Danio rerio: one gene and its partner. The protein of the gene in region 2 binds, or shares a complex with, the protein of the main gene of each other region. Links are inferred from orthologs where the notes say so. Each region holds a gene or a part of one and is shown on either strand. Other genes may lie near its edges.

What was found. The genes of interacting proteins can lie anywhere in the genome.
Region 1: the proteins of gdf5 (region 2) and rgmb are in contact, whole or in part, in a crystal structure (PDB 6Z3J), measured with the Homo sapiens proteins. The link is inferred for Danio rerio from reciprocal best matches to the Homo sapiens genes GDF5 and RGMB. Residues at the interface, in NP_000548.2 of Homo sapiens: Leu396, Arg399, Phe435, Pro436, Leu437, Arg438, Ser439, Asn445, Val448, Ile449, Leu452, Ser455, Met456; in NP_001353437.1 of Homo sapiens: Gln57, Thr60, Phe63, Val64, Thr67, Ser68, Leu70, Asn71, Tyr88, Leu103, Val104, Ser107, Ala108, Leu110, Gly111, Ile112, Asp114, Leu115, Gln118.

Annotation. Positions count from the first base shown.
Region 1 is NC_133180.1:56,369,185-56,373,540, reverse strand, and holds part of rgmb (repulsive guidance molecule B precursor), read left to right. Parts: intron 1-2,159; coding exon 2,160-2,840; 3' UTR 2,841-4,356. UniProt on the Homo sapiens protein: Member of the repulsive guidance molecule (RGM) family that contributes to the patterning of the developing nervous system. Acts as a bone morphogenetic protein (BMP) coreceptor that potentiates BMP signaling. Promotes neuronal adhesion.
Region 2 is NC_133181.1:55,375,426-55,380,907, reverse strand, and holds part of gdf5 (growth/differentiation factor 5), read left to right. Parts: intron 1-1,320; 5' UTR 1,321-1,811; coding exon 1,812-2,373; intron 2,374-5,482. UniProt on the Homo sapiens protein: Growth factor involved in bone and cartilage formation. During cartilage development regulates differentiation of chondrogenic tissue through two pathways.

The sequences.
Region 1 (4,356 bases), on a different chromosome or scaffold from region 2:
ATGACCCATTAAAGGTGATTTTGAAAGAAGCCTCTGTTTTTTTTTTGGGGTTTTTTTTTTCCCCAAGTGTGGCACTTACAGACAAACACTCGAAGCAGAGCCGTTTACAACAAACACAAAGCCATAAGTGCTAAATCAGAAGCATTTCTGTAATATGAAATAGCCGTAAATGATACAGCCTGCGTATGCAAGATATTTGCTATTTTTGTTGAGCTCATCATAGGACAGATGTGGCTTCAATGCTAAGTCTGGCTGCCAATGCTAATTACTGCTCATTTGACCCCTTGACCTTAAAGGTGGGGGAGCCATCATTAAACATTTGCAAGTAATTATTAACACACAGTGCTTAACTGAGGCCTTTTCAGCTGCCTCACCTTATGGCCAACTAGTCATCATTTTTCATCCTCATCCTGTGTACAAAGCTACTATTCATCCACCACTAATGTAACGCCACACTTCCTATTAGCCAGTGCTTTTGCTTCCCACAAGTCTTAGAGTTTCACAGCAACTGTAAGCTGACTGCATTTTATGGTTCACACTTGCAGAAAGGGTTTGCGTGTCTGTAAATATGTGTGAAAGTCTAAAGAACTGTACAAATCCAGATTTTCTTGTTTAATTCTCATTTTTTTCACGTGATTTGTGTTATTATATCAACACAAATTATATTAAGAAGTGCATTGTAATGTACAGATACACTGGAAATATGCTTTTTGTTGTGTGTGATGTTAAAAAATATTTCTCAGTTTGTTTATAAATCCTGACTGGACCAATATTGTATCGTCTGCTCAACTAATAATAGATATTTTGTTCCGCCAATAGGAAAATGGGAATTGTTTGGGGAAACAGATTTAAAGTGACTATGTTTTAAATGGACTGGTGTTTTTGTTGTCATTTAATATTTATGCTTTTCAGGTTAATCTTTGTTTTGATTTGTTATTGGGTCTCAAAAGTTATTTACAAACACAGTAGCTGTATGTTTTATTTTGCGGGAATATTATCCAACAATCTGAATAGCTGCCATATAATAATGAATAGTTTTGAAAAAAAATGAGATAAAATTTTTTTGTCAACTTAAACCATGTTTAAAGCATAGACTGTACGTTTCTAAACAATGCAAAAGAAGCTACAAGTAGGTGTGGCCAACTGTCATAATTTTGTTCACGCGTCATCACACGGACCGCGGGATGTCAAATAACGGCAAAGAAGTGGAGCAAGACATAACACTCGATGACAACGTTTCAGATTACTCTTTTATAGCCAAGAGTCAATCAATCTGTCTGATTCTGGAGTGCTTAACAGGTCTAAAGAAAATTATAAATGATAAGTAATCTTAAGGAAAACAAATACATTTACAAACATGGTATATAAGCATATGATTTTACTTACCTGGGAAGTGGAGGCAACTTGAACAATTTGTGAGCACGATTATGTGCACACAGCATGCTATTTTATCTGATAATTGCAGGAAATAATTCCGGCTAATCAGTCGGAATCAGCTGTGGTGACAAGACAGCGAGTAGCGAGACCTATTTAAGTTAAAAATTGCTAAAAGTTCTAAAATTAATAAAACTAATCTGAAATAAAAGATATTATTTTAAAAAACAAATACTATTTCAAATTTTGCAATAAATGCTATAATACTTACTATAATACAGAACTAATAATAATTCATTAACATCATCAAAAAACAATTGTAATTTTAAAAAAAGTTTGATAATTGTAAATAAGTGTTCATTCAGAATATGTCCACAGAAATCAAAATGCTTGCATGTATGTGGAGACAATTATGTCAATCAAAATGAATCAATTCTACTGATATCATAAAGGTCATAGAAAAAGCAGCAGCAGACCTAACATTTTCTAATAAAATGGACCAAACCTATTTATTTTATAGTACAGCAAACAGTTTGGTCATGGGGTTAAAGAATTAGTAGTGAATTTTTAAAATGGAAATGAATATAGCTTGATATTTTTTATACTTTATAAAGTATTAAAAGTAAATTCTGCACATGTACAGTATTTGTTCTGCACTCCTGCTTACCAAACCAAAAAGCCATGACGTTATACCCCTAAATGAATTGTCACAGTAAGATCAGTAAAACGCTCTAGATAGTAAATAGACTCTGTAGTCTAACTATGCTCTTTGTGCTTCTTTTAAGATCACAATAATCTTCAAACCATACCAAGAATGCACAGACCAGAAGGTCTACCAGGCCGTGACAGACGACCTTCCAGCCGCCTTCGTAGACGGCACCATCAGCGGAGGTGACAGTGAGACCCGCAGCATCTGGATCCTGGAGAAATCTCCCGGTCGGCATGTAGAAATCCACGCTGCGTACATCGGGGTCACCATCATCATACGCCAGCAGGGCCGTTACCTGACACTAGCTGTGCGGATGCCTGAGGAACTGGCCATGGCCTTTGATGAAACGCAGGACCTGCAGCTGTGCATGAACGGCTGCCCCACATCAGAGCGCATTGACCAGGAGGGACACCTCCAGCTGCCCGTGCTTGGCCTCCAGCAGGCTGGCTTTCAGCAGCAGCAGCAGCCCAGGGTGGAAGCCCAGAGAGGCGTCTTCACTCTTGAAAGTGCCTCCAGGAGGTGCAGGGACCAACTGGAGGTGAAGGACATCTATTTCCACTCCTGTGTGTTTGACCTGCTCACTACAGGAGATGCCAACTTCACCACTGCCGCCTACAATGCCCTGAAAGACATGGAGACACTGCATCCCAAAAAGGAGCGCTGGCAGATTTTCCCCAACTCGGCTTCCAGGCTGAGTCCTTTTTCATTGCTTCTCACTGCACTGCTGAGCAGCTTCCTTATCGCTGTGCTTTTATAATGCGTATCGTGTTTTGATAACTGTTTCGAAGAAGAAAAAAATGGCAGACAGTGTAAATAGTCAGTACTCTGGATAAAGAGTACTTTGTATATACTGTGTGTGTGTGTGGAGAATGAATGTTTGCAAACAAACCTTCGTTAGACTGTACATTTTGTGTAAATCAATTTTTCAAGATTGTAGATTTTTGTGAGGTGAATTTTTTGTCATGTGTTTGTCCTCAGGTGAGGAGATCTTATTGGAAGCACTTTATTTTTATTTTGTTTTCTTTTTTTGTTTGCAACTAGGAAACAGTGTTCAACGGAACCAGTGCTCATGTTTTGTGCTACAATCTGAGCTTTTTCTTTCATACATTTCTATGAGTCTCTACAGAAAAAAGGTACATACCTAACCATTTTGCTCTGTAGAACCGTGATAAATATTTTTAATAATGTGGCTGGCGTAGTGATTGTGTGATAGAGGTTTACAGAAGGATTACGTTGACTAGACTTTCACTTTGTCTGTATTTCTTTTTAATCTACTACTCAGTACTGTTGAGTAGTGTTGATCAGCAATTTGAAGAATTCAAGCAAACGCACAGGAAGGTTGAAGTGCACTTAATTCAGAAATCATCAACCATTTGAATTCTGTATTGGCAGTTAGGTTCTTTTATTAAAAAAGTGACAATCAAAATTATTTTTGCTTGGTAAAAACTACCTATTTTATGTAAAAACTAACAAAAAAAAATCACCAGTCCTAAAGAATTTTTAATGCCAGGTTCAGATTACATGATTTCTCCCTGATAAAATTGACAAAGAGAGTGATGTATGGAGTAGGCACCACTCCTCATCCACCATCCACTCATCCAACCTATCCCTTCTAGTAACAACTGTGATTCACAAACAACTTTCAGCCATTATGTTTAGTGTTCCTTAGACATTCTAAAGAGACATTCAAAATATTTTCAGTGCCCTTTGGTGGTTGGCTATAGGCATGGGGTAGACATTTTTTCTCCACAATGTCTGACTTTGAACCATAGGAGCAATGAAGGAAAGGTTTGAGTTCAGATGCCTTTGTTTGTTAACATTTACATTAGTCAGTAACAAGTTCTGCCTTCGCTGTGACATCATACATGCCTTTTAAATAGTCAAAATCACAACTAAAATGAACCAACACAACAGACAAAAACATTGTTTAGTCTGAACCTGGCATTAAAAAAACACCACAATAATATGCTAAAAGCTTTATCCGCTTTCAAACTAATTTCATAGTGAGCGTCTCTCATTGAGTGGACTAGAAAATGGACATTGCGTAAGTGGGCCACGTTTCATATAGTGACACGCAAGAAGATGCGGCAAGATAACATTTATTCCCTTTGTCAAACATTGACTATCTGCTCAAAAGTCTTAAGTTCCTCTCATTCTAGTTTTATCCTTAACCAAAGATATGATGCAGAAAACACACACACACACACACACACATATCAAAACTTTTGCCAGATGAACTGTGAGCTTCCCTATAGATTTGGTTTTGCCAAAGT
Region 2 (5,482 bases):
TTGGAGAGTTATACTGAATGTGTATTATAACCTAGGCAAGTTGTCACAATGGGGGTTAGTGAGGTCAAAATGTTTTTTTCTCCAATAAACTGGGGTTTATTTCACTGCAATATTAAATATTAGGCTATATTTATGTATGGGTAGTTTTTTTACGAATTATTCTGTAACACTTTAAAATAATAGTCTATTAGTTAATGTATTTACGAACATGAACAAACTATCAGTAATACATTTATCACGGCATTTATTTATCTCTGTTAACGTTATTTAAGTGAAATAGCGTTAGTTCATATTAATTTGGTGCATGTAACTGTTAACAAGCAGAACTTTGGATTTTAATAATGCATTAGGTAATGCTGAACTATGATTGATAAGTGCTTTACAAAATTATTCATATTCAGTTAATGTTAGTTCAAGAATGCCACTGGTTCGAGTCCCAGCTGGGTCAGTTGGCATTTCTGTGTGGAGTTTGCATGTTCTCCCTGTGTTGGTGTGGGTTTCCTCCGGGTGCTCTGGTTTTCTCACAGTCCAAAGACATGTGCTATAGGAGAATTGGATAAACTAAATTTTCTGTAGTGTATGGCTGTTTCCTCGTATACTGGGTTGCAGCTGAAAGGGCAACCGCTGTGTAAAACGGATGTTGCATGAGTTGCCGGTTCATTCCGCTGTGGTGACCCCTGGTGAATAAATGGACTAAGCCGAAGGAAAACTAATGAATGCTTTTTCATGCATTAATAGTAAAATCTTATTTAAAGGGATAGACACGCATCTGTCATTTACTCAGCCATTTGTTCCAAGCCTGTTTGAGTTTATTTTACTTTTTAGAGTTGAACACAAAAGAATATATTTTGAAAACTGGTAACCTTTGACCATCTATATTAGGGAGAAAATTCTGAGGGTGTTGGTGTTGTAACCCAAAATATAAGGACAAATCCAACACTGGGTTAATTTTATCAGTTCAATTTAAAATTACACATTTACAACCCAGAGGCTGGCTTTGTCCATATTTGACCTAGTGTTGGTTTGCAACAACCCAGCATTGTTCAGAGGGTTACCAGTTTTCCAACATTTTTCCAAATATCCTCTTTTGTGTTCAGAACAAAACACTAACTGCTTTGAGACACGTTAAGGGTGAGTAGCTATATGATGGCAGGTTTTTTTTTTTTGTCTTAAGTTGAACTATCTCTTTAACATCCTTACGTCAGCTGTCACATGATGTTTAATGCATGAATAATTTGCATATCAAATCTGACTTGTGGCTCAAAAACCGAGGGTTTATTTTAGTGACCTAATGCGAAGATGTTGTTTTTATGTATTCAGTGACTCATGCTTTAAGAAGAAATATTGCACTTGAATAAATCTGGACAGCATGACATCAGAGAGTAATTAAGCCCGTTTGCGTTGGAATTCCGTTTCCAATTCCTGTGCTCAGGTTTGCGCGAGCACCTGCAGGTGCGTGTGTGTGCGCTGTTTTCACTGGACAGCGTTCAAACTCTGGGGAAGAGAGCGAGGGAGAGCGCGCATTACGCCATCCTTCCCTCCTGGAAAAAGTGGGAATTTAAACAAGTCTCTCTGAAGATATCAAGCAGAACCGCTGGACTTCGGTGAAGGACGCTGCGCTTTCCTACTAGGATCTTGGATCTCCGCTTTTGGAGCTGGATCACTATGGTTCTGAAGAGCGGGACTCATGGCGATGTTTTGCGCATAATAATCGATCAGACGTTTCCAAAGCTTCATCTGTACCTCTCCAAACCCGCTCATGGTAGAGCTGTCCATTTCTCCATCACCGAAGCTCAGAGGAAGATCAGAGGATGAAAGTTCTGACTAGTCTCCCTCTTTTACTGGGCTTCTGGACTCTGCTGGACTTCATCGTCGCCGGTCACATGAGCGCCGGAGCGGCCAAACTCAATCCGCGGTTCCCGGTGGCGCGCAACGGCACCCCCGATAACGCGAAGATCTCCCGCATCCGCGCCGGTCCTCCTCCGATAAAGGCTGACGGGAACCCTGCGCGCGTCAGTTTAGGGCGCAAGGAGGCCGCGCGCTCTTGGGTACCCAAGGATGCAGCAAACCTCGCATCCCCTTCAAGCATCCAGCAACACAGTAAAGCAGCTTCTACGCAGAAATCCTCCGCTCCGGCCGCAGTCCGTGCCGCTCCTGCCGGGATCAAGAGCATCGCTCCGGCTCCGTCCCATCTGCGGATGAAGAGCGCGGTGAAGCTGGAGAACAGCGAGGAGCCCAAACACCCGCTAGTGATCCCTCATGACTACATGCTGTCCCTGTACTGGTCCCTGACCAGCGGAGACGTCAATACCAGTGTCCTGCACGAGGCGGGGATGGCCAACACCATCACCAGCTTTGTGGACAGAGGACAAGGTGATGCACAACAATGTGTTTGACTTATAGAGTTATACTGAATGTGTATTATAACCGGGGCAAGTTGTCACAATGGGGATTAGTGAGGTCAAAATGTTTTTTCTCCAATAAACCGGGGTTTATTTCACTGCAATATTAAATATTAGGCTACATTCATTTATGTATATATATTTTTAACGAATTATTTGGTAACACTTTAAAATAATACTCTATTAGTTAATGTATTTACTAACATAAACAAACTATTAGTAATACGTTTATCACAGCATTTATTCATCTCTGTTAACGTTATTTAAGTGAAATAGCTTTAGTTCATATTAATACGTGGTGCTTGTAACTAATGTTAAAAAGCATAACTTTGGATTTTAATAATGCATTAGGTAATGCTGAACTATGATTGATAAGTGCTTTACAAGATTATTCATATTCAGTTAATGTTAGTTAATTAGCTAATGAAACATTATTCTAAAGTGTTACCAATTATTTTTTATAACCATTTACTATAACTTACTCATATGAACACTATCAAATGAATACTTCTTACGTTATGGGGAAGGATTTTTAATGCATTTATTGATTGATTGATTTATTTATTTAATCTCCAACAGTGTGACAGCATGCCCCACCGTTAGGGGACAGTATCGTTTTGTCCTCGAGGATGATGGTAAAAATGCTCAAATATCTGGCAGTTTTTAGGGGAAGATTTTCATGTCTCCCCATAGGAAAAAAAAACTAAAAATGGCTTTTAAGACAAACCACTATAAAATATTAACTCAAGTAGAAAGTGTGATAGATAGCCCCAGTCTCAGATTCTATTACCAAAATCGCATTAAAGTTTATATTTTAGCTGTTGTTACTTGCCACGGTTTTGAGTATGTATGTATGTATGTATATATATATATATATATATATATATATATATATATATATATATATATATATATATATATATATATATATATATATATATATATATATACTTAAAACTGTGGCAAGTTACAACAGCTAAAATATAAACTTTAATGTATATAAACTTTTATATATATATATATATATATATATATATATATATATATATATATATATATATATATATAAACTTTAAATATAAAATATAAACTTTTATATATATATATATATATATATATATATATATATATATATATATATATATATATATATATAAACTTTAATTATATATATATATATATATATATATATATATATATATATATATATATATATATATATATATATATATATATATATATATATATATATAATTTTTTTTTTTTTAGCACTCTAAATAGCTGTAGGGACTGTAATAACTGATTGTGAGCATAAATATTTTTATCTAGTTTGACAAATGACCAGACCTCATCATAAATGTCTATGATGGCACAAAAAAAAGTTAGAAAGGAAATAGTTCGATTGAGTTATAGCCTGTCAAACTACAGGATGCTGCTGTCACTGCTTGAAATGTCACGTCAACTACCCATTTTGGAGTCTACTGCATTAACGTTAAATTGTCCTTTTCAGTTTATACAATAGAGTCAAAATAAGAAAACATCTTATTTCTGCTTAGCATTTCACTACCCATTAAATCTGCGCAAGCTTTTTTTTAATCCGGTTCTCTGACCAAAACCAACTGTGTCAATATGCATCTGGCACAGGACTTTTGATGGACCTCTGCTCAAAGTAAATAAACTCCTGGGCCGGTTACAAGTAGGTGGCCTCAATATGCTTTTATTTTTTTCTGAGTAAATCTTTTTAAAACGGCATTTAAGCAGTCTTGCTTTTTGTAACCGAGTCCTCAGAAGCTTTGAATGGTTTTAGTTTATGCCGTGTGAAATGCTCTATGCAGATTTATAGTTTCCACATCTTCTGTGGACACGGAGCAAAAATGCTTGGTTTTTCTCTCACCTGAAGGAAAATAATGATCATCTATTCATCTCCCTGTCATTTAAAACCTCTATTTGTGAAGATAAAAGGGGATATTAGCTCGCATTTACCTTTATTGAAAAAAGTAACCTGTAACATTCTGCAAAACATCTCTTTGTGAAGAAAGAAAGTTATACATGTTTGGTTTAATGTGATTTTATTTTAGGAGAAAGTTTGGAAATCCATTGCACGTTATGTCCTTTTAGTGTAATTCACATCACCGCACACACACACGCACGCACGCACGCACACACACACGCACACACACACACAGTTTTAATCAGCTGCACTCTCTCTGCCCTTCTCCGTGCACTTCAGATGGTCTTTTCAGCCCATGTTAGTGAAAGCCATATGTCACGGTGGTAGGCCCACTGGTAAATAGCTGCAGGTTGATAATAATGCTGTGTTTACAGTATGTTGTGGTCTCCAGACCAAGGTCGTCTGGTTTTAATAGTCTTTTGAAAGCAAACTGTTCTTGGATAAAATGAAACCTTTGATTTTTATAATGCACTGCCTTCATGTTGCATTGCATGCAGAGAGAGAGAGAGACACACACACACACACACATAATCAGGATGTGAATCAGCTCTGATTGTGAAAAAGTTTAGCTGTAGTGCTTTAGAAAAGATCAAAGTGACAGATCATATTAGCATTTAAAAGATAAATCTCTTCAGTTACATCAAAGTTACGTAATGGTATCAGATGGCAATACCATCTAACTGAATCATTTCCATATTTATGCAATATGTTGTTAATTGTGCATGATACACTATAGCTATTCAAAAAATGTCTTTGGATTGCCATGATAAATGTCTAAAAGTTGATATTTACGTAATGCTTTTTTAAAAATCTGTGGCATTACCACCATAAAACACAGTATTAACCTGAAATCATGTGGAAAAAACATAGTATTACTATAGGTAATTGTATTATAATTGTGGGAAGTGTAATAGCATGAAGAAAAACACTTTACACTACCTTACAAAGGTTTTGTCGTTAATACCATTTCTAAGAGCAACAAATAATAACTTGGCTTCTAGTTGATCATTTGGAAAAGTGGCAAAAGGGAGATTTGAATCAGCTGTTGAACTGCATCCCAATCATATCTAATACTGCAGAAGAATGATTAAACCACTTGAAAAAGTGGCAGAAGGTCGATTTTTCAGAT